Linked DNA regions of Arabidopsis thaliana. The protein of the gene in region 1 interacts with the protein of each later gene in a biochemical or structural test. Each region holds a gene or a part of one and is shown on either strand. Other genes may lie near its edges. The genes, in order: ACS7, CPK16 and XBAT32.

What was found.
Region 2: of the proteins of ACS7 (region 1) and CPK16, one has a biochemical effect on the other in vitro, tested with the Arabidopsis thaliana proteins (one study listed by BioGRID).
Region 3: of the proteins of ACS7 (region 1) and XBAT32, one has a biochemical effect on the other in vitro, tested with the Arabidopsis thaliana proteins (one study listed by BioGRID).

The regions. Positions count from the first base shown.
Region 1 is NC_003075.7:13,269,742-13,279,819, reverse strand, and holds ACS7 (1-amino-cyclopropane-1-carboxylate synthase 7), read right to left. Parts: upstream 4,621-10,078; 5' UTR 4,514-4,620; coding exon 4,325-4,513; intron 4,225-4,324; coding exon 3,929-4,224; intron 3,733-3,928; coding exon 2,874-3,732; 3' UTR 2,632-2,873; downstream 1-2,631. UniProt on the Arabidopsis thaliana protein: 1-aminocyclopropane-1-carboxylate synthase (ACS) enzymes catalyze the conversion of S-adenosyl-L-methionine (SAM) into 1-aminocyclopropane-1-carboxylate (ACC), a direct precursor of ethylene.
Region 2 is NC_003071.7:7,766,818-7,778,058, reverse strand, and holds CPK16 (calcium-dependent protein kinase 16), read left to right. Parts: upstream 1-5,276; 5' UTR 5,277-5,431; coding exon 5,432-5,860; intron 5,861-6,014; coding exon 6,015-6,145; intron 6,146-6,263; coding exon 6,264-6,305; intron 6,306-6,399; coding exon 6,400-6,511; intron 6,512-6,602; coding exon 6,603-6,681; intron 6,682-6,754; coding exon 6,755-6,924; intron 6,925-7,002; coding exon 7,003-7,129; intron 7,130-7,214; coding exon 7,215-7,330; intron 7,331-7,413; coding exon 7,414-7,521; intron 7,522-7,610; coding exon 7,611-7,673; intron 7,674-7,755; coding exon 7,756-7,929; intron 7,930-8,009; coding exon 8,010-8,174; 3' UTR 8,175-8,538; downstream 8,539-11,241. Other genes in the region: AT2G17905 (Ta11-like non-LTR retrotransposon), read right to left, coding at 254-772; SDG37 (SET domain group 37), read left to right, coding at 1,369-1,483, 1,562-1,707, 1,796-1,930, 2,080-2,134, 2,224-2,342, 2,439-2,527, 2,592-2,673, 2,763-2,867 and 6 more; AT2G17880 (Chaperone DnaJ-domain superfamily protein), read left to right, coding at 10,401-10,883. UniProt on the Arabidopsis thaliana protein: May play a role in signal transduction pathways that involve calcium as a second messenger.
Region 3 is NC_003076.8:23,390,273-23,401,138, reverse strand, and holds XBAT32 (uncharacterized protein), read left to right. Parts: upstream 1-3,488; 5' UTR 3,489-3,993; coding exon 3,994-4,188; intron 4,189-4,288; coding exon 4,289-4,348; intron 4,349-4,430; coding exon 4,431-4,502; intron 4,503-4,601; coding exon 4,602-4,768; intron 4,769-4,859; coding exon 4,860-5,020; intron 5,021-5,131; coding exon 5,132-5,190; intron 5,191-5,280; coding exon 5,281-5,327; intron 5,328-5,421; coding exon 5,422-5,571; intron 5,572-5,659; coding exon 5,660-5,751; intron 5,752-5,826; coding exon 5,827-6,350; 3' UTR 6,351-6,554; downstream 6,555-10,866. Other genes in the region: AT5G57770 (auxin canalization protein (DUF828)), read left to right, coding at 1-45; AT5G57760 (uncharacterized protein), read right to left, coding at 178-414; AT5G57750 (RING/U-box superfamily protein), read right to left, coding at 839-1,471; AT5G57720 (AP2/B3-like transcriptional factor family protein), read left to right, coding at 9,613-9,690, 10,234-10,699, 10,771-10,866. UniProt on the Arabidopsis thaliana protein: E3 ubiquitin-protein ligase that mediates ubiquitination of ACC synthases (ACS). Negatively regulates ethylene biosynthesis probably via ubiquitin-dependent degradation of ACS4 and ACS7 enzymes.

The DNA.
Region 1 (10,078 bases):
ATGATTTTAGGCGCCAGCCTGTCAGCGTGATACGCGTGTGCGGTGGGGACTGATCTGACGGCTAAGATTCTTCCAGCTGTTCAATTGACCTTTGACCCTCAAAAAGTAGCATTGGGTTGGAAAATCCTAACGACCGCGACACACGTGTGGATGAGGTTTTTTATTCTTCACATTTTTGATTCTAAGAAGTAAGATTGAATTTGAACATTTACTATCAGAATACATAAGGGTAGATAAAAAAAAATTCGTTTAGTAGGCAAATCAATCACATTTGTAAATTTACGTACCAAAGAAAAACAAAAGAGAAAGTAAATGGCCTCATAATTCTTGAAAGAAGTCGTGGGGTTTTGATTGTATTTTGCATCATCGTGCGTTTAGATTAGATTCGGCATTAGTTATGAATGAAAAGGCTATATTTGATTCGTTAAACTTGCACTGTCTGTATGAAAAATGCTATTTTTATTTGAAAATATCATGTTTTTGCATGTTGTTGTTGACAAACGTACAAAAAAAAAAACTTTCTTATTATACGAAAGTTTGATATAAGTCTATCTTTGCACCTGTCACAAAACTTTTGGTACCAGTTGTCACAAAATTACAAATAAATTATTGAATCTTTTGACCATTACTATAAAATACACGAACGTACTAAAGTCAAAAGTATTCCCGTGCAAAGCTTTTGGAACTAAATATATAAGAGGCACCAAAATTCGAAGACGCCTATCACGTAGCCGGTTTTTGAAATGTATCATAATTAATCGGTTAAGGAAACTGGTTAGAATAAATGTGTATCTGTTTTATAATGTTATTGAGATTAATGATCAATTCATGCTAAAATTAACAAGAAGAAAAGGTAACTAGGTTTGACCCAAAACTTCGAGTACAAGAAATTGTATTAGATACGTAGATAATGACATGAGCATGTATAAAGTCAAAAGTAGTAAAGTACAAAGACATAATGAAGCATGCAAAATTAAGAGACTAAAATGTCAAATCGGTGATTAATTTAAAAGGATTATGCATGCAAAGTCTACTAGTCTTACATTCTTAAATTTCCTTGACGCTTTCGAAACTCAATTTAATAAGCTTAATTAAGGGGGGTTTCCTTTGGAAGGACTAGTCAAATCAAATACTACTTCTCCTAATTAGCTGTAAGTTGAAGTATTATAACATTAATTTTATACATAGCTATAAGCTATGTAAGTCAAAGTATGTACGTATATGTTTATTATTTGTGCATGACATAACGAAAGCAATAAATACTCATAACATAAAAAAACTAACTAAGTCAAAGTATATATATGATATGGATTTATAAAAATACGTATAAATTTGGAAATGTTGGTGCAATTGAAAAATATTCAGAATTCAATTGTAAATTTAGAGTTCGCCAGGTTCAACTTTACCTATATACTATAGTCCTGACTTTCGATCTAGTGATTTATCTAAAGCAAGTTTTTAATATAAAAAAAATGATGTATTAAACATGATTGGTTTAGTTCTAGGTGCATGATGTAAGAAATGTCTATAGTTCTGTTGCATGCAACTTCTATACCATAGATACCATTCCGGCATTCCCTGTCATTATTGTATAGATGAACTCATTCCAAATACAATACTGTATATTTATACACTTTTTAGAAAAAAATATGTGTGTTGAATACATGTAACTATAATTTGCATTATTTATATTATTTTAGTAGAGACCGTTGACAATGGTCCATTGTCTTTGCACTTAAATTGATTTGTTTTTATTCAACCAAGTGGTATACGACCTCGACTTGGCCAAGAAAACGAAATAACTTAGAGACTTTAGCTAGGAATCAACCATTTGTTTAAAATTTAATCATTCAAATTTCGTTATTGAAAATGAATATCTGGTAGACCAAATTTTAAAAATCGCCCGAATGATATCACAACAAATATATTTCTCATTGTAACGTACGGAAAACTTGAATGTGCACTTCTTTTATAAGCTGATTTGTTTGTAATTTAGATATTATATTTCGAGTTATATGATTAGTTAAAGGTTTCTATTATGTTAATCTAGAACAAACATCAAAATGTTTTATTTAAGAATATTTGTTACTGCAATTAATTATTTGGTTATCAAAATCCTAAAATTATACATGTAACCCTAAATACAATATAATAGTTGTTTCAATATTTTTTTGTCATAAATCGTCATAAATACCTCACTAATTGGTAGCCACACAAAACTAGTTCGATCTCATCGAAACCGTGTGTGTATTCGGATAACTAGTATTAAGAGAAGAAAAAGAACACATTTCTTGTTAGAGTTGTACAGTGACCAAGTCAAAAAAAGACCCGACCACATAACAACACTAACCTCTTTACAGAAAATTACAACAACAATGACATAACCATATTGAAATAAAATTATTTAGACCCATTTTCTGTATACGACAACAAATATTAACTTGACAAAAAAGTCAACAAATATTACATACAGATGTATAACCTTCAAGAACAATAAGTAAATCTGTATCTACTGTCTATAATATATTTGCGAGGTGTATCATTATCTTAACAATATAAATATATTTGTTTTTGCCGTACTTAAGTAATAGGGATAATTTTCCGATAGAGATGTTTCTGTAATGCTTTATATTTTAAAAAATTCGTTTATAACAATAAATATTACAAATCAACCTTGATGAACATGAAATTAACTTGCTTTGTCCAAGCAAGAAAACAAACAATAATATCTAGAAAAGAGAAACAAATCAAAACCCATTTTACATCAATGGGTTTAAATTAATTATCTTCTCTTTCCTAAAAAATTAATTACCCCTCCCCCATATATTTAACCACCAAAAAAACGGATTTACTTTACTTTTTTTTTTAACATTTCAAAACCTCCTTCGTCGGTCCATGAACTCATGTATTCTCTTCAACGCAATCTCCAAAGTGTTCTCACTCATATTAGCAAAACAAACCCTAAACCATCCGACCTCCGAGCAGTGGCACGAAGATCCCGGAGATATATTCAGGTTCAGCTCCTTTAAGATCACATCCCAAAGCTGGAGCTCGCCGTCTTTAGTTTTCTTTTCGAGCAAGAAACCCAAATTCATCCAACAAAATAGCCCTGCGTTCCCTTTCAAACACTCAATCCCTGCCTTCTTAAGCCCTTCCACAATGGTATCGTACCGTCTTCTAAGTCTTTCCCGGTTTATCCTAATGTACTTCTCCGTAAACTCCTCATCCGACAACATAGAAGCCAGCATATGTTGTGTCTGAGACGAGACAAGCGTGAAGCTCGACATCCTTCTCGCTGTCCGAACAACATTATCGTTGTACGAGTATATAGTTCCCACGCGGAAACCAGGAAGACCAAGATCCTTGGAGAGACTGTAGACGATGTGAACTCGTTCCTTTACTGACACGTCATCTATGTTTTCTACGATCTCGGCAACGCTTGTGAACTCGGAGGCATGGAAGACGGAGCCGGAGTAGATCTCGTCTGAGACCAAGTGAATATTCTTGCGTACGCAGAAGTCAAGGAGATCTTCTAGAACCTTCTTTTGGACCGTCGCCCCTAATGGGTTCGATGGGTTGGTTATGAGCACTCCTCGGACTCTAATGTTCGCGTCACGAGCCGTTTGGTACGCCGACTCTAGCGCCTCCGGGGTTATCTGGAAATGGTTCGAGCTGTCGCAGTGGATGGGTACTATTTTCACTCCGGTTCTCCATCTCAAATCTCTATCGAATCTGTAATGAAATAAATAAACGGTTCGGTAAATACAATGCATTAAATATCGAAAATAAAAGATTTGCTAGATTATAACTTTCTTTTAAATGGTGTTAGTTAGTTGCAGCTATTTCTTTGTAGTTTATCTTCATATATACGAATGACCATATTTCTTAATTTAATTCATTATATATCTTATTATAAAGTGTGACGTACCCTGGATAATACGGTGTGGGAACTAGAAGGGCGTCGTTAGGATCGGCGAGAATGAAAGTTAAGAGTTCGTTAGCGGCGGTGGCTCCGGCGGTGAGGACGATCCGGTCAGGATCAAATCTAGCTTTGCCTCCTCGAATCTGTTCCATGAAACTAGCCATGGCTTGTCTGAAAGTTTTGAGACCGTGGTAGTCTTGAAACAATGCGTTTTCACGGAACCCAGGAGCTCCTTTTGATCCCCACATCGAACCTTCTGGATTCTTCTTCTCCAAGTAAGTTTCAAGAAGATCAAACGAGACCTGTTTGTAGGAAAAAAATGATCGAAAGAGACAATTAATACATTATCGCAATATATAACAATTAATAAAAAAAAGTTGACTATATGAAAGATTTTATTACCTGATTCTCAGCGAGACCCATTTGGATGACACCGGAAGGGTTATGAGATTCGTCGTAAGGATTTTCGTCGTAAGCTTTCCAGCCGGCGAAGTACGGTGAGTCTTCGCCGTGAGTGTCTGAAACCGCCACTCGAGAAAGCTCGACGTTGTTGTTGTTTGATGATCTCTCCATCATTAGAGGAAGACCCATTTTTTTCTTAGAGCTTCGAACCTGACACGTGACACGTGACAGCTCTAAAAACACAATCGGAGAGAGAGAGGGAGAGAGGTTGAGAGAAAGAGAAGTGTGTTGGAGTTAAACATTTGTGTGAATGAAGGAGTATATATAGCAGACGTGACCAAGAGGAAAGTCTTTGACAAGTTCAATTTTAATATTAGTTTACTTACATACAGAGAAGAAGTTTGTGTAAAGAATAAGGAAGATTCGATTGTGGAAAAATACGGTGTCATTGACCTGCAAATGGATGAATAGATAAGAGTGTTTGGCTATTTTTATTTTTGTTTTTATCTTGAAACTTCTCGGTGGTTCATCTTTAGGAGATCGCCAGTTCTATAAAACACTGATTATCAATTTTTAAACGTAATGTTGTTTAGACTTTAGTCTGCTAAAAATAGTTTAGTTTCTATTATTGTGTACGAGTTTAAATGTGTTTTAATGTTGTTTGTTTTTGGAAAACTTTCTAAATATTTTGGTTTAGTCGGCTGCTACGATTTAAATCCAAAAGGGTCACTAATGCGTTTTAGATAATAGTCTCGTAATTAATAATCCTTCACTAATACAATATTGTTACACAGAAAAAAAGATTCTCGTTTACCTATTTTTCACTATTTGATATTCTTACAGAATGGTCACTAAGAAAACTGTAAAGTACTTTTGTTTTTTCTTAGAGACCATAACAAAAGGTAGTTACTTTTTTTCTTTGAGAATACAAATTTACGTAAACAAAGAGTCATCAGTACTAGTATGTCGTTTTTAACTACATACAGTTTCTATATAAATTATACGCGTCTGTTTTACATTATGTGTGTTAAATATAATAATAGGAGCTGGAATAAGTAACTAATCAAATTTATTGGGTATACTAAACTCCATAGATGAAAGAAATGAGGAAACAACTAAATTAAATGTTCTGATTCGATGTTTTAAGCAAAATCAAAGATCACCTTTTGCCAAAATCAATTTCGGACAACTGTTAGCTTATGTCTTCTTCTTCCTTCTCTCTTGTTGATACTTATTTTTTCTACTTAACATTTTTTAATTTATTCATTTATTTCCATAACTTTAGTTATGATCTATAGCCCAAATACGGTGGTTGAAATTCCGATTATATGGATTTGGCATCATTAAAAAAATGAGAAATTTACATTATACGAGAGGAGTGGGTGGGTGGCTATCCATTTACACTTTATTATATCTAGACAAAAAAAATTATGATAAAAATCTATACCATATTTCTGGACTAGTATTAGAAATTAGGAAATTCGATCTTTTGCTGATTACCATGAGAACAATTCGTCTCTAATTAAGTATGACAATATTTACGAACCAGAAGTCAGATGGATTATTATAGTTTCTTCGCGTGAGTTAATATGATTATATTTCGATAAAAAAAGAAGTAATATGATTATATTTAGATTTATACAAATAAAAACCTATGGTAATCGAACAAAATTACATTTCTCAAATACTGAGTTGTTGAGCTAACCGGTCAGATTGTAGGTCATTGCATCGGTATGATTTTTATTTGTTAGTAACATATATATGAAGAAAGAATTTCTATATTTTATCTAAAAGGTGATATATCTATAAAAATTAGTTGTGGGAAACAGTTTTATATGTTAATTAGAATTAATTTTGGCCGTATTAATTAATACGATTACCATAGGTTTCTAATTTTCCCCTAGTGGTCAAAGTATGCTCCCTAATGGGTGATAATTATGCTCCCTATTAATGGCGGTACGTACGGCTAATCGAAACCTTTGTTTAATTAAGGCAGAATTTAATTCTCTCCTACTCATGAACCCGCTTACACATGCTACTGTATAAATCTTTACCATATAGTACACTTTAACACATGACGATAAACAAAACAAGCTACCTTAACATATTTTTAATCTAACAAAATTAAAAAAGAGAAAATACTTTTACCACTTTTCATGTACACACAAAAAAAAACCCCACTAGGTTTTAGTATGAATATATAAGTCCATACTGTATTTTAAGATTTTTAAAAATATTTCCCATGACGATATATTATTTTAAAACTTACATGTCAATATATAAATACGTTTATACATATATCTAAATCTTATTAATTAGTTCTATTTTTCCTATATGTAATTAAAACTCTTATAAAGCTCATCCAATTTTATATATTAATAATATAAGATGTGTGTGCACAAAAAAAACAAATTTGAAGCAAAAAAAGAGAGAGGATATTTGGAAAGATCTAATAGTGGTTAAAAGTCCAACTACGTGACACATATACATACAATCATACGATAAGATTATGATTCCAATTTGTGAACAATATATGTTCATCAAGAATATAAGTTCTTGGAGGATCTTAGGTGACCCCACATATCGCAATTAATAGTGAGTTATGAAATCAAAAATTTAAAACTTTAAAAAGAGGAGAACTAATTAACAGAAAAAAACTTTTTTTTTGTCGACGTTTTAACAAAGATTAAAAGCACGAGTTTCTCATATCTATATTAAGTTAATAGAGTGTTATTGATTCCATTGCGTGTTGGTTACAATTCGTTTATAGCACTGGTTACTAATTAAAGTACTCTAAGGAGATTTTACTTTTTTTCCAAACTAAATGCCTGCTTTTATTACTAGAACCATCATAGCATAATAGTTGTATGGTCGCAATTTTGCCCGCATGCTGAGATTAAGATTTTGTGTTAAGATTGGCTGTTTGTATGTTTGGACTTAGAACATCAGCCTAAATTAAAGGGTATTAATCGACATAACAATAGGACCCAAATGAAAATTAATAAATTTAGGTAGAAGATAACGAAAACAATGTAAACTTATAGATGTAGATGCACGTATATTGGAGATATACACAGTTATACACACGTGTTCTTACATATGGATGTATATTCGTATTTACGTAATACTAATAGACAATTGTAATTTGCATGTGATCGAACCCACCAGCTTAAGATTCGGAAATAAAACTGTAGATTGAATCTCAGTACATGATCAACACAAAGGGTAATGCTAATCTATATGTTTTATATGGTCTTATAAATAGAAATTACAATAACCTAGACTTTGAAGAAAAAAAACTAATATACTATGTGATAAATTTTTAGGATTAGTGTGAATATCTATATATATATTGCAAAATTTAATCTTTATTTCAACTGTAAAATATATATTGAGAAGACGGGATGGTTAGAGTGTTATAGCTAGCGTACATGGAGCCAAACTCCGATAATTAAAGCGTTTTAAACGTAATGCATCACATATACATGTGTGTATATACCACAACGATTTTAGTTTGCAGAGTGAAAAATTATCATTTTCTAAGTTGAATTAAATGATCTATATCATCCTCGAAAGACATTGTAACGATCCACATTTAGAAACGTGATTTATTTACACATTAATTGTTTGTTAAGTTTTGAAAACAAACATGTTAGATGCAAGCTTTTTGGGGAGTTAATGAATTGGTTGATTTCTTCTAGTTTAATGTCATAGATTGGCTTCAAATCATGCTGGATTATGTCTTCGACAAACGTGACAATCCAATGGATTGTTTACAATTTTGTGTACTTTCATAGGAACATAGAATCAAATTTAGTCACCAATTGATTGATTGGTTCTCATAAGTGTATAAGAAATTGCAATCAATTACTAATTCTAACACGAAATCTTCAAGAAGAAGTTCATGATATCTTACGGAGCAATCATTGATGTATGTACTAATTTAAATACTAATAGCTCGACTATTTTAGTATAAATTTAAAATAAACAAAGAAGCAAGTTGTAATAGAGAACGTGAAAGAGAAGTGGAGTTTGGGGACTGTTTGTGCGGCTAATTAGGAGAGCACCTTCATGAAAATATACGAGACATGCATCAAACGATATTGCGATCTATAATCTTTGTTATTAATTAAGTATATTATCTAGTTATATAGCTATGAGTCTATGAACTTTTTCTGTTAATGTTATAAACTATTGTTCGTAATATGTGGATTTCACTAATTAATGTGTGTGGAGTGTCTATTTATTTTCGACCATTGGACTATTTTCATTAGATAACCAATGCACCTACTTTAAAAAGTACTTACACAGCTTAAGTAAAGCTTTTTTAAGAAAACTATAAGTTCTACTGATATTTCTTGTCATTCACTTACACATACATTGAAACCCATTGTACAGTAGGTCAATACTGTATCATATGCTAATTCTAAAAGTTGTTTTAAGAAGATTTTTAACGTGATTTATAGCTAGGTTTCCAGAGGTCCCACTTTCAAGGAGTTGGGGATGAGCTACATGAATGCAAGTGTTTAGCTCGAGCCATAGACAATAGATTGTTACACATGGTAACTATATCCGAAAGGTTGATATACCAGCAATTGGAGGATATTTCATTATCAAGCAATTGAGAATACTTATTTCTTAGGCAAATCATATAGTGCGTTAGGTAATGACATCTTAGAAGGAAATAAATTATACCAAGAAGATTCCAATTTGTTTTTGTTTAATTCCGAGGATTGGTTTTAACTTGGTTGTTCTTGCTTTGATATAGGTTACGTTCCCGGTTATAAGGATTTACATAATTTGTTGAGTGTACAATCAAACGAAAAGGTATATATATCGACTTTGCTAAAATCGCACTGACATACTAGTATACTACATATATAATTAATATAGTTTTTAACATGTTAACAATTTCACTACTAGAGGGTACGGTGTCCATTACTCGTTTAAAAGCATTCATAACCAGTCAAAAGAAATAAAAAGATCAAGACAAAACCATGAGATAATTGTAGCAACTAGCAACCAAACTGAGAAGTATGATGATCCTAATCCCTAATGATTTGCTGTCAGCAAAAATATTTTTTATAAATGATTTTGTGAAAAGTCGTATCTTCCACAGTCTCATGAGACCAATGAAAAGAGGCCACGAGATACATGTTTCACTCTTCTTGTCATTTGTCAGAAATAGATTAACTAAACATCTTCAGTTGGTAAGTCGTATCATATATCCTTCCAACCAAACCTTCTGATTCCACCGTATATAGTTTGCTATATCTTTATCAATAATGCGGCGACTCCTAGCTTTTTTTTTTTTTCTTTTTTTTTCTTTTTTTTAGCGATATTGATATTCGAGATTTTTTTATTTATTATTTATTTTAAAGATTGATATCCGAGAAGTTTATGAATAACCTAATACTTTTGTGATTTAAAATGTTTTAGAAGTAAAACGTAAACATTTTTTGTTAGGATATGCATGCAGTGTAGAGTTTTTTTTTTTTTTTACGTCGACCTACACTTCATGGTCTATTTATGCATATCGTCAGTTCAAAACGTATAATTTCAAAATGATTAAAATTGCTTTTAAAATACTCATTAATTAACGGGAAGAAGTAAAGAATTATCTCGACTTTGGCATGGATAATAATCATACGAGCCTTATCATTTGGCGCGAGCGTGACCAGCGTGTGAACACATAAACTTGGCTAGATAGAAATATTTTTATGTATTCATGAACTTGTATTTATTTAAAGAGGT
Region 2 (11,241 bases), on another chromosome or scaffold:
AGTTTCGAGTCTGATACTTCAGAAGGTAAAGGAACTTGAAACTTTGAAAGACGTTCTAACGAGTTACCTTCGGGTGAAGATCTCTTGACATGAAGATTTATAGGTTCAGAAATCTTCATAGAACATTTGTTTTTATCATGAGTTAATCGTTGACAGTGGAAACACCTTTTCCTAATCCTCTCATAATCAAAAGAAATGAGAACAAGTTCACCTGAAGGAAGTTGAACCTCTTTATTGTTACGAAGAGGATTGGCTACAGAAAATAGAACTGAACTCGAACATAATCTTGAACCTGTGATTTTTCAGGATCCATGACAACCTGCATCACTTTCCCTAAACATCCCGCAATCTCCTTAATCGTGTCTTCAGTATAATAGTTAACGGGAATATTTCTGATTCTAACCCAAATTGGGAGAAACCTCAGATAGTCATCAGGTGGTTTCTCTATCCATTTTTGCATAACAACTGCCCAATCATCTTGTGTCCACACTCCAGTCTTCAAGATTTCTTCTAAGTCTTCCTCATATTTAAAGAAAAATTGAAACCGCTCTTTCGAAAGAGCCACACCTCTAACACGATTAGATAAACGCCAAATACGAGGCATGTCTAAAATCCAGTTAGACATCCGTTGATTTTCTGGATTTAAGAATCTTCCCAGAATACTACAGCTATTGCGTTCAATAGAGGAAAACTGCGGAAGATTTGAGAGAATCAGAGGTTGATTATCTTCAAGAGACATGTTTTGAATAGCTTTATCCAAGTCTTTATCCATGAAAACTTCAGCAAGCAGATGACAGAACAAAAACAGAGCACTTTGTAAAAGTTTGTTTTAACCGGACCGAAAAAGTTAATATCTCCGGTAGAAGCTCCGCTCAGATGAAAACAGCTGAGAGAGAAGTCCTTGAGCCCAAAAGAAATCTGGGACGGCGATTGATTAACGGCGACGCGAGATCTTTATTTCACCTACTATGAAAGAGAACAGAGAGTTTATTTTTACTATTGAACTTTTTCTGTGTTATAAAGTATACTTTTGAACTTTTCAAACTTTAAATTGATTACTCCAAAATGCAATCAGTTGTTTTCAGTGACCAACGAAACTGAAAAATTAACAACCAGAATTTATAAAATTAGAAAATGGATCTAAATGTAACTAATCAAACTTCCGTCAAATTGTGGAAAATAAGAAAAGGGGATGCAAATGTAAATAATCAAATTTCCGTCAAAACCTGGGAAAAAAAAGAAGAACTCGCGGTCCGGGTTTAAAAGCGAGGCTGACCAAAACCGACCCTAATTTGTTGTAAACTTGAGATTTGATTTGGGACTCAAATTCAAAGTTACCGTTGTTCTCGAAACCTCGCGTAAGTTCCAATGGAAGCTTCACTAATGGCGGATTTGCAGAGATTTCTGCAAGATCGCTGCTTAGGCGTTTCGAATCTCCCACAGAAAGGCCGCTCTCTATTCACTGCCAGAGATTTTCGTCCAGGTTCGTTCGTTTCTCTCTCGCTGGGGTTTAGGGTTTTGTTCGTCTGAGACTTATTCTGATTCCTGTGTTTTCTTCCAGGAGAAGTGATTCTAAGCCAAAAGCCATATATATGTGTTCCGAATAATACATCCTCGGAATCAAGATGTGACGGATGTTTCAAGACCAATAACCTTAAGAAATGTTCTGCTTGTCAAGTGGTTTGGTACTGTGGGAGCTCTTGCCAGGTATATCTGATATGAGTCCTCTCTGGAGAAATTCAGTTGATGATTGATTCATATTCTAAGATTTGTTGTTTGTTGTGATTCCTTTCAGAAGTCAGAGTGGAAGTTACATCGCGATGAATGCAAAGCTCTCACTAGACTTGAGAAGGAGAAACGGAAGTTTGTTACTCCTACAATACGTCTGATGGTTAGACTTTACATCAAGAGGAATTTGCAAAATGAAAAGGTTATCATCAGCTATGTAGAAGTCTAGATACATCCATATTTTGTTTTTGGCTGCTAAATATGGAGAAGAAGGCTGATTCATTGGTTATTTGTGTCATATTGATAGCAGTCTATGAATGCTAAATTCTTAATGTGCTTTATCTTGTCCAGGTCCTGCCAATTACGACGACAGACAATTATAGTTTGGTGGAGGCTTTGGTGTCCCGTATCCTCTCTATGTGTGCCTTATAGCTTTGTGAAATTGATGATCTCTTTACCGCTAGAAATGTGTATTCTTTAACCTTTATATGTTAGACATGTCTGAGATTGATGAAAAGCAGATGTTGTTGTATGCACAGATGGCTAATCTTGTGAACTTGATTCTTCAATTTCCTAGTGTTGACCTAAGAGAGATCGCCGAGAACTTTTCAAAGGTTGGTGATGTGGTCCCGGGATTTTTTGTATTCGTCTTTATTGGAATGTTGTTTAGGGATAATTACTTAAGCCACTTTCATTTCTACTGAACACAGTTCTCATGCAATGCTCATAGCATTTGTGATAGCGAATTGAGACCTCAAGGGATTGGATTGTTTCCATTGGTTTCCATCATTAATCACAGGTAAATGCTTTTTCTTTGTGTTCTTTAATCACTTTGTTTCCTGCCTAAATCTTTTGCTCTGTAGCTGCTCTCCCAATGCGGTTTTAGTGTTTGAGGAGCAGATGGCTGTTGTTCGGGCGATGGATAACATATCAAAGGATTCAGAGGTAGTTTTTGCTTTGTTTCGTCTCTCGTCTTTCGTAATTGCTAGTAGCACACGGACATATAGCTGTTAGATCCTTTTGTCTTTGGTCAGATAACTATCAGTTATATTGAAACCGCTGGAAGCACTCTGACTCGGCAGAAGTCTCTGAAAGAACAATACCTCTTCCACTGTCAGTGTGCCCGTTGCAGTAACTTTGTAAGCAGTCGCTAATTCTCCCACTTATCAACGAATGGAGTTAATTCTATATTTTGTTTACAACCTGTACCATCATTTTTTGATACTTAAGGGAAAACCTCATGATATTGAAGAAAGTGCAATATTGGAAGGCTATCGGTGTGCCAATGAGAAATGCACCGGTTTCTTACTCCGTGATCCTGGTATGTTAAGATTTAACTTAGGTAGTTTGTATCCAAGAACATTTCTTGATCCCTCCAGTCCTCATTTGTTTACTTTTGCAGAAGAAAAAGGCTTCGTTTGCCAGAAATGCTTGCTTCTTAGGAGCAAGGAAGAGGTTAAAAAGTTAGCAAGTGATCTCAAAACAGTTTCAGAGAAGGCTCCTACATCTCCTTCCGCAGAAGGTATCTGTTGCCTTTGCTTCCTCAATACCTGCATTTACATGTCTGAACAAGATTAACTGATCTTCGTTAAATTGAGCTGTGTTGCAAGTTGTCTAAGAAAATCTTTGATCATTTTCAGATAAACAAGCCGCTATTGAACTATATAAGACAATTGAGAAACTACAAGTTAAGCTTTACCATTCTTTCTCCATCCCTTTAATGAGAACCCGTGAAAAACTTCTCAAGGTACGTATCTTTAGGACTTTTGGAAGTTTTACAGAGTTTTGAAGACGAGACAGATATGGTTTCTCAAAGCTTGCCGTTACACATTCTTTTGCAGATGCTAATGGACGTAGAAATCTGGAGAGAAGCTTTGAATTACTGCAGACTAATAGTCCCTGTTTACCAAAGTATGTTTACTTCATCTTGATTATTACGTTGCTCGCTCCTTGACGCATGTTCGATCAATATTTTTCTTTTCTTTAGGATACCTTCTAGTATATAGATCTAGGTGTGGGATTTATATCTTGAACATAAGTACGAAGCTCTTAAGAGTTTTGTATAGATACATTTACTTATAATTACCGTAGGAACTTATTGCCTGCAGTATCAGAGCTAACTGTACTGGCACTAATGGCTGCTAATTATACCTTAAACAGAAACATCTACATAATAATTATAAAATCATTCAAATTCTTTTGGTGGTTATTACTTGTGCTTACCTTGTTTATAAAATTGCAGGAGTATATCCGGCAACCCATCCTTTGATTGGACTGCAGTTCTATACCCAAGGAAAACTCGAATGGTATCAAAGCTTCTTTGCTTTCTCTAGTTTATATTTTGATAGATTTTGAGCTGCGGAAACTGAACTAGAATTTGAAGACAGATTAATGCTCTATATCACGACTATTTAATTCTCCGGTCAAAATCCTTAAGACCAAATAATAAGTGTTTTCCCTCAACTATCAAAGCTACATGTTCTCAGTGTTGGAGACTCTTATTCTACTGTGACTTTTTCAGTCAGGGAAGTGGGAACACGTAGAGATTGGCTAGTGTTAGGCGGAACTTGGCTAATAAGCCTTCAAGATATCCCTAAGTTAGAATCTCTGTGGAAAGAAACATTCGTTTACCTGTAAAAAATTATCATTCATATTTTAACTTTCTACGTGAATCTGAGTCTGAGTGCAATAACATGGTGTCGGTTACTATCATATTCTGCGGATAAAAAAGGTATAATTGTGATGTTGCAGGTTGCTGGGGGAAACCAAAGAGGCGGTGAGTTCATTGATTAAGGCATTTGACATTCTGCGGATCAGCCATGGAATAAGCACACCTTTCATGAAAGAGCTCTCAGCAAAGTTGGAGGAAGCTCGTGCAGAAGCTTCTTATAAGCAGCTTGCATTGCATTGAAAGACGCTTATAATGATGACAACTAGCAACTTTGATCTCTCTCTTGTACAAACTCATGAATCACTTTCTATACTCTCTACACATCTTGAATATATTGAATTTGTCTTTACAAATTCTAGAGCTGAAAACCTGATAAAATTGATCTCCTCTATTTGATCTAATATAATATTTTGGCCACACATGTCAAAATTAGAAATATATAGCCAATTATACAAACTAAATGTAATATGTATTGCATACTCACATGTACCAACTATATGACGATATGTAGTCGCATCACTACTATTTTGTTCCGGTACACCATTCATAGATATCAACTTCAACAATCGTTAACCAACAAAAATATTAAAAAAACATATTGTTATCAAATAATCTGCTCAACAAAAATATTAAAAAAACATATTGTTATCAAATAATCTGCTTGTTACATTTACTTGGATATTTGGATGATCCACTTTTTCATTAATCAGTTTTAAAATTTCTCATCTAAGCACAATATATATAATTTTATTCAAATACTTTATAACCTGAAATTCTTTAATTTCCTACACCCAAAAAGAAAATTTATTTTGCAAAATGGAAAAAAAAAAAAAAGTTTCACCCGAGAAAAGTCTATTTCTTGACACAACGCATATCGAAGCTTCTCCTTCTCCATATCTCTCTCTCTCCCTCCCTCTGGCAATGCTGTTTCGATGGCAACCTCATTTCCTATTCATTAATGCCTCACAAATCCCCTAAGAAAACATCCTCATTGCGTAGGGTCTAAGAAACCGAAATCCCACAAAAAAACTCATGGGTCTCTGTTTCTCCTCCGCCGCCAAATCCTCCGGCCACAACCGCAGTAGCCGGAATCCCCACCCACATCCTCCTCTCACGGTTGTTAAATCCAGACCACCGCGATCTCCATGTTCCTTCATGGCCGTTACGATCCAAAAGGATCATAGAACGCAACCGCGACGCAATGCAACGGCTAAGAAAACGCCGACGCGGCATACGCCACCGCACGGGAAAGTGAGAGAGAAAGTTATAAGCAATAACGGTAGGAGACATGGAGAAACGATCCCCTACGGTAAGCGTGTAGATTTTGGGTACGCTAAAGATTTTGATCACCGTTACACCATTGGAAAATTGCTTGGACATGGTCAATTTGGTTATACATATGTCGCTACCGATAAAAAAACCGGTGATCGTGTCGCCGTCAAGAAGATCGATAAGGCCAAGGTATGATGATGAATCAATCATTTTTGCTGTCTTTTTCTAATCATTGAGTTTTATTTTATTTAAGATTCTTCAGATTTTGGAGCACAAAGATTATTTTATATATTTAAAATATATTCGGATTCTTGCGTTTCTTGATTTGATTTTTGTTGGGTAGATGACAATTCCGATAGCTGTGGAAGATGTAAAGAGAGAGGTGAAGATATTACAAGCTTTAACTGGTCATGAAAATGTGGTTCGGTTTTATAATGCCTTCGAGGACAAGAACTCTGTTTATATAGTTATGGAGTAAGTAAAAAGCCTTTTAGGTCGTGTGTTTTTCTTTTCTTGTAATGCAAGAAAGGCAAAGGGCGAAAACTTCTCTGTTGCTAATTAGTTTTTCCATTGATGATATATTGTTCTCTAGGTTATGCGAGGGTGGTGAATTACTTGATCGTATTTTAGCCAGGTAACTTTAGTAATACGTTTACATGTGTGTTACTAAAATTTTAGAGTCTTATTACTTTTTGAGTAATTAAGCTATTGTTGTTGCTTGTTTCCAGGAAGGATAGCCGTTATAGCGAGAGAGACGCGGCCGTGGTGGTGAGACAAATGCTGAAAGTTGCGGCTGAGTGTCATTTACGCGGTTTGGTTCACCGAGATATGAAACCAGAGGTAGCTTAATTACTCCATCATCATGTTTCTGAATGTGTATAGTTGGTTTTATTCACAAGTATTGTTTTTTACTAATCATCTTCTCAAACAGAATTTTCTGTTCAAATCAACCGAAGAAGATTCGCCTCTAAAAGCTACTGATTTCGGTTTATCTGACTTCATAAAGCCAGGTTAGTAGCAAAGTGATTTAAAGTTTTTCTTGACATATCACTTCTTTGATCTAACCATTATGTAACAATGTAGGCAAAAAGTTTCATGATATTGTTGGGAGTGCATACTATGTAGCACCTGAAGTGTTAAAACGTAGGTCGGGACCTGAATCAGATGTGTGGAGTATTGGTGTAATCAGTTACATTCTTCTCTGCGGGAGACGACCATTCTGGGATAAGACTGAAGACGGTATCTTCAAGGAGGTTTGTGTAGTTTCCCTGAAGTAAAAATTCATCAGTAATCGTAAATCTCTAATCATGAAGATGTGTTTATAAACATAGGTTTTGAAGAACAAACCTGATTTCAGAAGAAAACCGTGGCCAACCATTAGCAACAGCGCCAAAGATTTTGTCAAGAAGTTGTTAGTAAAAGACCCGAGAGCGCGATTAACAGCTGCACAAGCACTATGTAAGCGTTTTGACACCATTTTAAATCATTTTGTTCTTATCTTTTCTGATCTTTCTGTAAGGATTGTGGATTTTCTTGGTTGCAGCACATCCATGGGTTAGAGAAGGAGGAGATGCATCTGAGATTCCCATAGACATATCTGTTCTGAACAACATGCGTCAGTTTGTGAAATTTAGCCGCCTTAAGCAATTCGCTTTAAGGGTAATCAAGAAGAGAGATTTGTGTTTCATTTGAGTTTCTTGATGTGTTTGTTTTTATTAAATGAGTTATGCTTTTTGGTCTAGGCTCTTGCAACGACACTTGATGAGGAAGAGTTGGCTGATCTTCGAGACCAGTTTGATGCGATTGATGTTGACAAGAATGGTGTCATTAGCCTTGAAGAGATGAGGCAGGTAAAAATGAAGACAAAACTATACCTCAATCACTAGCAAAATTGATCAGGAAATACTAAGCCTGACATCAGTTCTTGTTATATATATAGGCTCTAGCGAAAGATCATCCTTGGAAGCTTAAGGATGCAAGAGTTGCCGAGATTCTTCAAGCGGTATGCATGTAAATTTAGGTTAATACTAATGATGATGATACTACTCAATCTAAATTCTCTTAATTGTGTTGCATTTATGCAGATTGATAGCAACACAGATGGATTCGTGGACTTTGGCGAGTTTGTCGCCGCTGCGCTACACGTAAACCAATTAGAGGAACACGATTCCGAGAAGTGGCAACAGAGATCAAGAGCAGCATTTGAAAAATTCGACATAGATGGAGATGGATTTATAACAGCAGAGGAACTTCGAATGGTATACACTATTATATGCTTTTTAATCAATTAATGTGACATTACTAATGAGTTCTGTTTTATATGTTTTTGTTTTTGCAGCATACTGGCTTGAAAGGGTCCATTGAGCCACTTCTTGAAGAAGCAGACATTGACAATGATGGTAAAATCAGTCTCCAAGAGTTTCGTAGACTTTTGAGAACTGCAAGTATCAAATCAAGAAATGTTAGAAGCCCTCCTGGTTATCTTATTTCTCGCAAGGTCTAAGAAATTCTACAATATTTTGGAGAGGGATAAAGAGAATCAAATCTACAAAGTCTGGACAAGTTTTGATCCCTTATATAGAAAGAAAAATGGGGATTCAAGTGTAGTAATGTGTTGTTGTAACATATTTCTATAAACTTTCATAAGCAACGGCAAAAGAAATCGATATTCGTATAGTCAATTAGCACAATGTAGTTGATGAGTTTTTGTATTGTGTATACCTATGATCAATCAGAGTGTGTAACCACAGGTTTGTGAATTATGATTGATTTAACTGACATGTGTTATGAATATGTTATATGGATGTTCATTATAGTCTTATAGGTCTATTCATATGTAAGTTATGAATAGAAGAAAAAAAAGTTAATAGTGTTTCAAATAAAAAGTTTGTTAAAATTTTGTTTTGTAGTCATTTGTAGCTAGATGTAGACTTAAATACTAGTAAGATTCTGATTATTATGACGTGGAAATGAAGAAATTCGTTATTATCTATCAATAGAAAAACGCATTGCATTAGGCTTGTATTAAATAGTTGTGACAAGACTAAATAGCGCGTTTTATATAATAGGAAGTTAGGATAAGAGGAGATAGCACACACAACCACGTTTATATACTATTTTTGGTGTTTAGAAATTTTAATTATTAATAGAAAAGTGCATTACAATTATACATTTAACAAAAGAAACGAAGAAATTAGAATTATCAATAGAAAAGTGCATTGCATTTGGCTTGTTTTATTATAGTGTGGAAAGAGTGCTTTTAGGTATTAGGGTGAGACTTGAGAGAGATGGTACACGTAAAGGCCTAAACCATGTTTGTATGTACTTTTTTTGGTGTTTAGAAGTTTGAATGATCAAGTTAGGTTTAAGTGGACTATCAAAAGAGAGATAGCCAAATGATAGTAAACTACATTTTCCGTCTTAAAAAAAAAAAAACTAAAAACACACTAATTAATGTTACAAAGTTTAGATATTTGTTTAGATTTTTTTTGCTATGAGATATTTGTATGTTCTATAATGTATATTAGTATATACATATGTAAACATAAACCTATACTTAATAATATATCTCTAAAATGCATAGAAAAGAATAAGATAAATATAATAAGAATATATAAATTTAAATATATGTATATATAGCGCTAGAAAATTAAAGTTTTAAATAAAATATCTGGTTTTCATTATTTAACACGATATGAAACAAATTTATATATAGATTTTAGACCGATGTCCCTAAATTGTAAAGTCCATATATTTTAGTTGATGGTTGAGGGGATCCTTCTCCCTTTTGATTACTAATCAGACTAATTGTTTGGTGGTTAGTGTAATTATTTGTAACACTAAACTTCTAAAAGCTAATTATGCAAGGCCTCTTGTTGTAACAATAAACAACCTTTAACAATAAAAATCTCAGAAGACACAAAAGAAAAAAAGAAGTCCATATATTTATTTAGTCCATATATTTCATACATATTGTATCATGATTCTATAGTGTCTGTTTACATTTTATGTATCTTTAAATTACACTGAATGGTTAAAAAGATACCGAATGGAAAATGAATGTATCTTTTTGGTATCAAAATATGAAACATCGTTGTCCTTTTAACTTTTCATATTTTTATTGATCTTTCCAACAGTATGGGTGATATTTCATATTAGTTAATAATAGTTACAACTTTAGTTAATAAGTAACTATCCGATTGAAACAAAGTAGATCAGTAATACAACTATATTTACCGATTTCTTCCGGATATTCGCTTAGGGATAACATTTAATCGAATGTTTTAAGTTTCATGAGTACCAAAACAAGAAAACAAATAATAACAATGTGAATAATAATGTTATCAAGTTTTGTTATATGATACCAAAAATAGAAAAATTTGGTAGATGACAATAATAACTTCATTGCCACTCTCAAGTTCGTTCGTTCGTTGAATCTTATCTCACTTCTCCCATTATTTACAACTGTGGATAAGCCTTTTAGTCTGACTCAGCTTTCTCAAGATCCGAAAACACACTGACCCAACCCGGTTCGATTTTGCTTAACCGGACAAGATACATTAATCTGCCTAATCTTCAATTATTTAAAAGCTAACTAAACGTTATACGTACTAATCACTTCTTCCCCTATAAATAAACCTTTCTAATTTCTCATCTCAAATCACACTGCATCACAAAACCCAAATCGGAACTTAAACCAAAAGACAAACAAAAACGCCGTCGTTTCACGATGCTTTCTTCTTCCCCAACCTTCTTCGCTACTCCATTTCTCTCTTCTTCTTCTTCTTCTTCTCCGTCGTTCTCTTCTACTTCACCACCGTCACGCATTTCCCGGATCTCGCCGTCGCTTTCTACAACCACCGCGTCCTACACCTGCGCCGAAGATCTACCGAGATTACGCCAAATCCCGCAGCGATTTTCAGCAACCGCGTCTCTCTACGAGATCCTTGAAATTCCCGTCGGCTCGACGAGTCAAGAGATCAAATCAGCTTACCGGCGACTAGCCAGGATCTGTCATCCCGATGTAGCGAGAAATAGTCGGGATAACTCGTCGGCGGACGATTTCATGAAGATCCACGCAGCGTATTGCACGCTTTCGGATCCCGAGAAACGCGCCGTTTATGATCGGAGGACTCTTCTTCGGAGCCGGCCGTTAACGGCTGGATACGGCAGTTACGGTGGACGGAATTGGGAAACCGATCAGTGCTGGTAGCGAGTTGACTCGATGTGTCGAGTTGGTCCAAAACCATTGAATTGGTTGTAATTAGAGCAAACCCAGAGATTCTGGGTGGTTGTGCCACGTAGGATCAACACGGTTTATCGTGCCACGTAGGATCTGTCGCGTTTTTAGCCTTTGTATCCATAAGTAGTAAGTAGTCTGTATTTAGTATTTACCATCTAATAAAGAAAATAAAAATTTATGTATAACTTAAAGTGTTCCAACTTAGCAATCAATAGTATGTAGCCTTGGAGAAACAGATTTTTTTTGTTACAGGTAAGATTTACATACTGAAATCATATAGCATTCTTAGAAAATTTTAGTTGTATTATGTTGTAGTCACCTAATTTAA
Region 3 (10,866 bases), on another chromosome or scaffold:
TCCTTAAGTACAAATTACGCTCTCACTTTCTACAACAAAAACTAAAAAAATTCATCGCCTTGTTCATCGTTTTTCTCTGTGTAATTTTACTTTATCCCCTCCTCTGTTTTCTTATGTCTCTCTCGCTTGATCTTATAATGTAATGCATAAACAACTTGAGAACTTACGTTCTTTTAATTAGACTCCACATACATCAGCTAGCTTTTTAAGTAAATTAACCTGAGATTTGAGAAGCAAGAGATGCTGAATTGACTTGAGAAACAAGGCTTCCTCGTCTTCGATCTCTTCACAGCCTGGTACAATCCTGCGAAGGATCCCGAGGTTTCTTTGCATACAAGTTTCTCGAAACTTGGGTTTCTCCTTTTGTCCTTTGCGACCGCGGTGCCTAACCTTCTTACACTTCACCATCTTCATCACTTCTTGCACTCCAAGCTAAGATATAAAGCCATATATATAGAGAAACTGTAAAGATGACAACGATATGGAAGGAAACAAGTTGTCTGAAAAATGTTTTGACAGAGTAAAAAGAGACAAGGAACCCATATCAAGGCCATCACCACTGAACCTGTCTCTGCCAATCCAATCTTGCAATGTCTAATGTTCAATGTATCTGTTGTGGTCCTCATTTATGCATACTTTATGCCATTATTGTTGTTTCAATTCCAACATGGTTCGTTTGGTAGGATTTAACCAATACATGTACACGTATATGAGTTGATGGCAAAAGAAAATGGGCCGGACGGTTATAAGAATACAGGCTTCACGTTGACCCAATTAGGCCTATCTAGAGTTTAATGCCATTAACTTCCCAGTCAAGAAATCAGCAGCCACTTAGGCCTCATTTTGACTCGACATCATCAAGATCGGTTAACATGAACGACGAATCGGAGTCTTGGGAATTGTCACCATCAGATTCATGCACAAGGACAATAGTGGAAGACGAAGCAGTGCCAGTGAGGCCAAGGAGGAGGAGGTTGTCCCTGCAGAGAGGACATGTTGAGTTTGTGAGGAGCCACGTGTCGATGCACTCCACATGGAATGCATGGCTGCATTTTGGTAAGAGCCGGAGCTCGTCTTCGGCTGTGAACTCTCTGAGACAAACGGCGCAATCAGAGAGGTCGTGTCGAAGACCAATCATGGTCTTGTAATGTAACAAGGGCAATGCATCAATGAATGATTGGTCAATTTCTGCGTCATGGAGATTAAACCGTGTTTGATACCGACCTTGCAGAGCAGTAGAACTCTCTGTAATGCCATCATAGGCGTCGTCAAGTCGAGTTTGGGGTCTATGTAAGAATTTGACCAGAAGGTGAATCAAAGCAGCTACAAAGAAGATGATGGAGAGGAGAGTGATGTAGAGAAGTACGATGGGACTAATCATGCATATCAGATCAAAGTCTTTGTCTGTTGAAGAAGAATATGAAAATGAAATCGATGAAACAGAGAGAAATGAATCACTTTTCTGATCCATGGTTTTCTTGAGAAAGATTCAAGAGGAAGGAGATGGGGAAATAAGTGAAAGAAGATAAAAAAAGTGAATAATAGGAAGACTCTGTTATTGTAACCAAAAAAAGTAAAGAAACAAAACGTTGACGTTTCAGTGCAAAGTGAGTTGTGGTTTTCCTAAATATAGAAGTCAAGTATTCATAGATTTCCCAATACAGATGTATTGTTGTTCAAAAGCAACGTGGTTTCTTTGACATTAGACTAACAGAGCAGTAACGGATTAACAAACAGAGGAGAAAAAATTAAAAGGATTCGTTTTTTTCTTCGTTAATCAAGACAATTGGGAATAACAAAACAAGCATCAAAGATATTGTTATATGAACGTAATGATCTTACGAACGAAAGACAGACACTTTAACAGAATCTGTTATAGATTTGTCAACGAGATGAAGAAAAAAAGTAGCCTGACAAAATTACAAGCATGCGTATTTGCAGAGGGCTATACCAAGAACAACATAAAAAGACTCAAGGGAAGCTGGAACAGTAGGTGCAAAATGAGGATGATGCAGTATGTCAGAGACATGAACCATATGAAGTTCCCTAAAGCTTGGAAATTCAAGTTTAAATTTAGCTTAGAGGAGATCAAAATGACAAAAAACAAGTTCTGTTGTGAGGTGGAATTCGAGAAAGCTGCAGTGCATGTTGTTTGAGAACTTGAAGAAACTTTTGGGACATAGGCTTATGCAAGATGTTTCTCGCGAAATTGAAGCAGTGCATGGGAAGGAATGAGAATTAATGTTCAAAAGTCTGGATCTGGCTTGTCAAAGCAGACTATGAAGCCAAACTATGAGTGTGTGTTAATGTCTATGGAGTTGGCCATTCAACAAAGGATATCAGAAAGTCAAAATTGAGCTGGTTATACTCTAGACTTTTCAGGAACTTCACTTTCCATTGCAGCTATTTTGAAAATGTGTACAGAAGGTGAGGATATATGGTTACATTTGGAGGACGACTTGATGAGACATTCTAGACTACTTCACATCTCTCTCTTACAAAACACTAGGACAGTGAGGGTGTTGTGTTTGTGGTTCCAACATGTGCACATGCACCTACTTGATTGTGTGATGTGGACTCGAGAGAACATAGATGTGGAATAGTGGACATGTTTCAGACTGAATTACACAACTCATTTTTGGTGTGGAGAAGTTCCACATAAAGCACAAGTGGAGATTTAAGCTTGTACATCCAGTTTGGGAGTTGGAGTTTAGTTTGGATAGTGTTAACTCTGGACAAAGAAACTCTGCTACAAGTTCCAAAGTACAAGACAAATTGTCAACTAAAGAATTTTCTGTCAATTTACAGCAACTGGCCACAGTTTTGCACAATTGTGAGACACAAATTAGTGATTCTACAGAAAGTGAGATTGAAGATAGCTTGGGTCATCTTTAAAATCAAGTAATATTTGTTGAGAGTTTTTTTGATAAATATATTTGCTGAGAGTTGGCATGATCATTCTGATTTGCTAATGTTAAAATTTGAAGTCATTAATGTTATAGGTTTGCTAATGCAAATGCAATTATAAGCATGACGTGACACGACCCACATGCTCCTCCACATTTCATTATTATACACTTGTTTTTCCACTAATGTCATGTTACTTTTGGAGACTTGCTAATTGAATCATTATTTGTTGGCACAAAAAGAACCTATATTTATTCAATTACGCAGTATAGTAAGATTATTTATTTAATTATATGTAATAAAGGAGAAAGCTTTCTTATGGTGTGATGAAGAATGTCTTTTTTTTTTCATTGTTAGAGAATCTTTATAATCATTAAGATTTTGGTTAAAACAAAAAAACGCGCGAATTCCGGCTATTGGTTTATCGAAACCTCTGGCTACAACGTTGGCTTTGTCATATTTTTTTTTTGTTCAAATAATTAAAAGTCAATTAATTAGTGTCACCATCACAAAATATTAAGAGATCCTCCACACACAATAAAAAATTTAGAACAATTCTTTTCCATTTTTGGTTTAAAAATAAAGTAATCACCAATTTGTTATTATTGTTTGTTATTTTCCTTAATCAATTGACCAAAAAAAAAATCCCACAACTTAATTTCACCATTCTTTTTGATGTTCTCTGTATTACAATTGTCAGAGAAGTTTTCTGGATGATCTTTCCTCTAAAGTTTAAAGCTTTTTTTGGTCAATTCTTTTAAAGTTTTGATTTTTTTTTGGTTAATTCTTTAAAGTTTCTTTCTTTCTTAAAGAGGGATCATTATGATGATGATGATGATGATCTGATCTGTACATAAGAGAATTAAAGAACACCAACAACAACAAAAACAGAGGAAGAAAATAAAAACCAAATTTTTCTTGTTGCAATCATTTGAAATTAAATTCAATTCTTCGATTCTTCCGAGCTGGTTCTCGAATTGGGTTTGCTGCAAATTGTGAATCCAATAAAATTTGTTCGTGTTGTTGTGTTGATGGTGATTTGTTAGGGTTGATCCGATCAAAATTTCAATTTTGTATCGTAAAACGATGAGGTTTCTAAGCCTCGTCGGAAACTCATTCGGTTGTTCTGCGTCCGGCGAACGCTTAGTATCAGCGGCCAGAGACGGTGATTTACAGGAAGCTAAAGCTCTCTTAGATTACAATCCAAGACTCGCTCGTTACTCTACTTTTGGCGTTCGTAACTCTCCTCTTCATTACTCCGCCGCTCAAGGCCACCACGAGGTAACTGTAATTACTTGAAAGATCAATACTTTGTAAGATTAGAGATTCTAAAGTTCTGACTTTTATGGTGATTGGTGATTTGGGTTTTGTTTATCTTCAGATAGTTTCTCTGTTGGTGGAATCAGGAGTTGATATTAATCTCCGGAACTACCGTGGACAGGTGTTGTGATTAGTGTCTTTTTGTTCTTTGCATTATTGATTGGTTTTGAAGTAGTCTGAATACAAGAAATTTTTGGAAACAGACGGCTTTGATGCAAGCTTGTCAACATGGTCATTGGGAGGTTGTTTTGATTCTGATTCTTTTTGGTGCTAATGTAAGACTTTGATCAACTCTTCTGACTGATTGTGATTTAAAAATATGTCAGGGATATTGGAACAATGATGATTGTGTTTCTTGATTGTTCGGGTTTTAGATTCACAGATCAGATTACTTAAATGGTGGTACTGCTTTACACCTTGCGGCTTTAAATGGTCACCCTCGGTGTATCAGGATCTTGCTTTCGGAGTATATACCAAGTGTTCCTAATTGCTGGAGCCTTTTAAAGAATAAGAAAACTTCAGTTGCTGGATTCGATTCTAGGTCAAAAGTGTTTTTTGTAAAGAATTGAGGTAATGCTGTAGTCACTTGATGATGATTAGTTGAATGTGTTCTTTGGATGTTGTGGTTGTAGTGTTCTTCACGAAGTGATCAACAGAGCAGCAGATGGTGGAATCACACCTCTTCATGTGGCGGCTTTGAACGGACATATAGAGACGGTGCAGTTACTCTTGGATTTGGGAGCTTCGGTTACTCAGGTCACTGTGGAAGATGGAACTACTATAGATCTTATAGGTTACTATCATATGCTCTAATTGATTAACTTTGACAATGAGTGAAGAGATTCTTTATGTGAAAGACTTAATTTTGTTTTTCGCTCCGGCTCTTTGATTTTATATATTGAAGGTGCTGGGAGTACAGCTCTCCATTATGCTTCATGTGGTGGAAACACGCAGTGTTGCCAGGTATACATGCTTAACTAGACAATCATGATGCTTCTGTTATGTTTCGTTTAAAGTTCACATATGAATTCATTTGGCATTTGTTTTTCTCAGCTTTTGATCAGTAAGGGTGCTTGTTTAGCTGCCGTAAACTCCAACGGGTATTAGATCACTCTATTTCTCAGCATGCTAAATCCAATCAACCAGTTTGATATAGACCTCAATGTCTTAATTCGCTTCATGTTTTGGTTTTAGATGGACACCAATGATGGTAGCTCGTTCATGGCACCGAAACTGGCTGGAAGAAATCCTGAACCCAACAACAGAACAACCACAACTCCATTTGCCAAATGTCCCCTCTCCTTTCCTCTGCCTTCCTTTAATGAGCATTGTCAATATTGCTCAGTATGTAAACTTTACACCTAACTGAAACACCCTATATGATCGCATGATCTCTGTGGCTGATTGGTCTTTTTTCGTTTGTGGATTTCAGAGAATGCGGCTGGCGAGAAAACGATTGTCTGACTCCATGTCGTGACCCTTGTGCCGTTTGTTTGGAAAGAAAATGCACTGTGGCAGCAGATGGTAATGTACCACTTTCACTACCGAAAATGATCTTTGCTTAAAACATTGAATTGATTGTTGTGTGTGACATAACAGGATGTGCTCATGAGTTCTGCACAAACTGTGCATTATACCTAAGCACCACAAGCATAACATCGTCAAAGACCTCAAACGTCACACCAGGCTCTGTCCCGTGTCCTCTCTGTCGCAATGGCATTGTATCTTTCACCAAACTTCCCCATACAACGGCAACAACAAGAACATCAACATCATCAAGAACAAGCATCTCCTTGTCCTTCTGCACTTGCTCCTCTGATGTCTTAGACACAGCTCTCCTAACTAACCCTCACTACAGTTGTAAACCGGTTGTGTCAAGAACGGGTTCTCGAACTCCACAATCCGCTAGATCATCAGCGTTTCGGTCTCTTAGCTGCCGCCGGTTTCCTCCAAGTCTCTGCCTTGGTGGCTCAGATGTTGATGAACCTCGAAGCCGGTTAATTGGTGGATCATATTCAAGATCCGGTGTAGGATTCAGGCGATCAACGTCGCAGGTTGAAGGGAAACGTTCTTGGTTTTCTGCACTTAACCATTGTGTTACAACCGGTGGAAGTGCTTGCTAACTCAAACTCAATCCTCTTTTTTTTCACCTTTTTTATAAAATTTTTGATCCCAGTTTTTTTGGGATTAAAAATGTGCTAATTGATTCTGTGAATGGTGTGGTGATTATTCATTTTGTAATAAGTGAAAATGTTGTAATACAAATAATTAATTTGGCCTTGCCATTACATTGAAATGGTGTGTATATAAAATTATGTTTGAGAGTGAATTTCTTGCGTAGCCATTAGCATCGTTAAGGTATCACTTATCAAACACTTAACAGATAAACGAAGATTACATATATTTAGATAGACGTTTCAGAGGAACTAATAACTGAGAAATTATGGGATTAGTAGTGAATTATACATAAAGCTCAGGAGGAATAGAAACAACAAACCAATACAAAATAAAATACAAAAATGAAGAGAAGATAAAAGAAAATAAAAGAACAATACAAAACTAATAAGCCTTGCAAGGTCAAGAAAAATCTTCTAAATTATAGAAGAACTTTCTGATTTAGTAGAAACAAAACTATTTTTTGTTTTTTTCTGTTTTCATAGAGAAAAAAAAAAGCTCAGCGAGGATAATGCCAATGGAACACTAATGTCCAAGAAATCTTCTTCTCCGTGAGATAGTCACACGTTCGAAAGTACAACCATGATGTAGTGGAGAAGATAGAAAAAGTTGAAAGAGAGAAACGATCATCATTATGATCATAAATATCATGATGATTATGATGATGATCATCATGATCCTAATCAAGAAGAAGAGGAATGATATATATGATGCTTTTGCTCTGAAGTGATGATGTGAGAGGGCAGGTGAAGTTTGTGTTTATATAGGGAAATAAGAGGATAAAATTAATGGAAGCTAGACCAGTACTATTTAAAACAAAAAAAAAACATTAATGGAAGCCATAGAAATCGTAAAACAAAATCAACATTAATAAAAATATACATACATTTACAAAAAGGTTATATAAACAATTATTTAATAATCAAAAAGTGTGTAAATTCCAAATTTAATTCTATGAATGAAGTATATGTAGAGATAAAAAAAATGCAAGAACATGCAAAGCTCTCTATTAATCTACATGTTTTTTCTATTAATCTACTTTTACACGTTACATTGAAAAAGTAATGTGATTAATTCCACAAATAGTCAGAATCTAAGAAAAAAAAAATCACAACAAAATACGAGTGCCCATACAAAAGGATAGCTGAAGTTACACGTTAAATGAATTTCTAGTTGATAAGCACTTTGATAAGCACTCTGTTCAACATTCTTCAAGTCAGTTCTTAATGCTTCAAGTTAGTAGTTGTGTGCTTGTGAGTAAGAAAGCTAGAGGTAAAGAGGCTAAAAACCTCACACACTTTAAAAGCATAAAGACAGTATTTTGGGTAAATCATGCATATGCTCTAGATTTATAGTAGAAAATGAGAAAAAATCACATATTATGCTCCGAATTTAACATGATCGTATGAAAAATTCGAACAATTTTAATTTTAAAGAGGTTTTTGATAAAAAAAAAAAAAAGATCGTTTTTTGAGAAAAAAGTTTGGCTCGCTTTTTTTTATCAAGAATTGCTTCGGTTTTTAAGATTTTAGTTTTAGCTGAGACTGTTGGTTTATGCCACACTTTTTACCGTATGAATTACGAAATTTGGGGAGTTTCCCATTTGACCTTTAAAATTTCATCTGTCCTCTTTTCTTATCATTTAAGAAAAATTAGGGCTTCCCATTTTCAGAAAAATAAGTTAAGTTCAAAATTGAAACTGCCAAGCAATAGTCAATACTAAATTTTATATAAAGCTAGACAGGATATTCATTGGATTTGTGTTATGTCCTTCTCTACCCTCTCTCTCGTGTAGTAAATTAATAGTCAATACAAAACGCTCACCTCCCTCTCTCTTTTGGATATCAAACACATCAAATCACCTCCAAACTCAAAGCAAAAAAGATGAATAATTTTTCCTAAATAGATACATGTATAGTTTCGATTAAAACACACGTACGGTATAATTAGACAACTTACTTTACATTGTATATTTTTAATGAATTTGGTTAAGAGTTAAGACAATCTCGGAATCTCCAACTAAACAAGATGATATATTTGTTTAAAGGAAAAAAAAAAACAGTTTGATTGTATTTAATGGCGTTTTTATATGTAAGAGGAGAAGAAACAAAAAGCTGCAAATGTATAAATAGGTGTAATCATCACAAAACTATGGGATGTGACAATACATTGTCAAGCTTCTGTCTCTTTCTCTGTTTTCTCTCTGATGGGTTTTTAATTTCTTAATTATATGCAGAAACAGTGAAACAAAAGTAAGTTTTTCGAAATTGAAGAAGTGTAACATGCATGCATATTTACCAATTCTTCAACGTTCAGATTGTCTAAGTCAAAGAATCCCTTATACCAATATAGAAAGTGGGGCACGACGACTTTGATACTCCATATTTTTAATTCGGGTCAGAAAAAATACTAATTATTTTTGTCAACTCGGAAATAAACTTTATTTTTTGCAAAAACTTAGCAATATTATTCATGTAAGAGGTTTGGGAAAATTGCCAAAAAATAACACAAGAAACTACTGTTTCACTTTGCACTAAAAAAGAAAAGAAAAAAGGGTACAACTGTTCACTTACACCCTAAATAAGAAAACACGGTCGTTTTAAGATATACGTTCAAGTACTGTATTTTTTATAGTAAAGCGAATATGACAGAAATCTTTGACAGAGCCAGGCCTAATGTTAAAAACTCAGCCCAAAATAAAGCCCATATACGTGTTAACATTGTTTTTCTTTACAACCTTTTTAAAACGTCAAGGTCTCAACCATATTTTATTCTCTTGTCCTGATGTCGGCCCATACAGGCCCATATTTGTTTAATGAGTATACATGTCTTATGATTGGGCTTATTTGAAACCAGATTTTGAAACAAACCTATCACAAGTGACATGACCCATTTTTATATCATTTATTTGTACAAATTTTCTATTTTGGGAGTCTCTCTAGTACAAAGTTTTTCAAAGCTCTCTGCAAATATATCCGTGTTTATTGCCAATTCCAGTATCAAAGCTCTCTCTGCAAATGACGTATCTAAAAATTTGCTTTATGACTTTGACTAAACTGATTTGAGTGGTACAACACACACTCACGCAAAACCCAATCTCACACTCAAAGACTCTCACATACATTAACTACATTGTTGAAGATTCTACATAACGCTACAGCTTTTTCATTTGTAGAATCCTGACTCAAGCAAAGACAAAAAAAGAAGAAGATGGTGTTAGAAAATGGGTTTCCTCCATATCCAGATTTCCTCAAGATCTTCAACTCCCATGAAGATTCTCAACTTTTGGTAAGTAACTAGTATCTTTCGTGTTTATCTTCTCCAAATTATCTGTCATGTTAGATTGTAGAATGACTTAAGATTATTTTGAATTTTTGATGAGATTATTCTTGAATGGTTTGTTGTGTGTTTTGCGTTCGTGTAACCTTAGTAGATGAATTTCTCTCTTGGCTCTGTTTCTGTTTAACACATAACTTTTGATTTCTCTGTTCTGTTGAACTGTTAGTTTGATTCATCTACTCTTGACCTTTGAATCCTCTTTCCTCTACTATTCGAGAGTCCAAAAGTGAACTTTGTTAAGGTTTGGTTCGGTTCTTGATGTCTAAGGGTCTGGTTCTGTTCCTAATTTCTTAGGGTTTGGTTCTATTCTTGATGTCTAGGGTACTGGTCTTGTTCATAATTTCTTAGGAGTTTGGTTCTGTTCCTGATCTCTTAGGATTTGCTATGTTCAGCTTCAAATCTGATTCCTTAATTCTTGATGTCACGTTAGTTTGGTTTCCTTGTCACTAAGTGGAACATTTAACCTATGTGTGTGCCATTGTCATTTCGTAGGTAATCCCAAGAAGCTACAACAGGTATTATCCAAACCCTCTCCCTCAGACAGCTGTTCTCAAGAATCCGGAAGGAAGATTTTGGAATGTCCAATGGACAAAAAGCCAAGAGGTGATTATTAGCTTGCAAGAAGGTTGGGTAAAGTTTGTCAAAGACAATGGTCTTATTGACAGAGACTTTCTCTTATTCACCTATGATGGTTCCCGGAGCTTTTGGGTACGCATCCACCGGAATGGCCTCCCCTTGGAGCCAACCGCTCCTATCAAAATACAAGAGATATCGGATGATGAAGATGAGACCAATGGTGATGGTGATCCTCATATGGAAGAAGAAGGAGATACCGATGAGAACATGATAGTTTCTCTTTCTCTCGGAAGCAGCGATGAAGTTGGTGATGATGATGATGATGATTATGATACAGCGATTTGTGATGAAGTTAACAAAGCTAGTGGAAGTTCCAAGAAAGGTAAACCAAACTTGTCTAGTTTTTGTTTGTATTGATGCTAAAAATACTTATTGAGTGATCTTCTTCAGCAGGAAGGGTTACAAGAAAGCATCGTGATGATTCTCTTGCTTCTATTACTCCGCAAATTTTTCTTGCTGATCCCAATAACCCGTTCTTCATTTCAACTT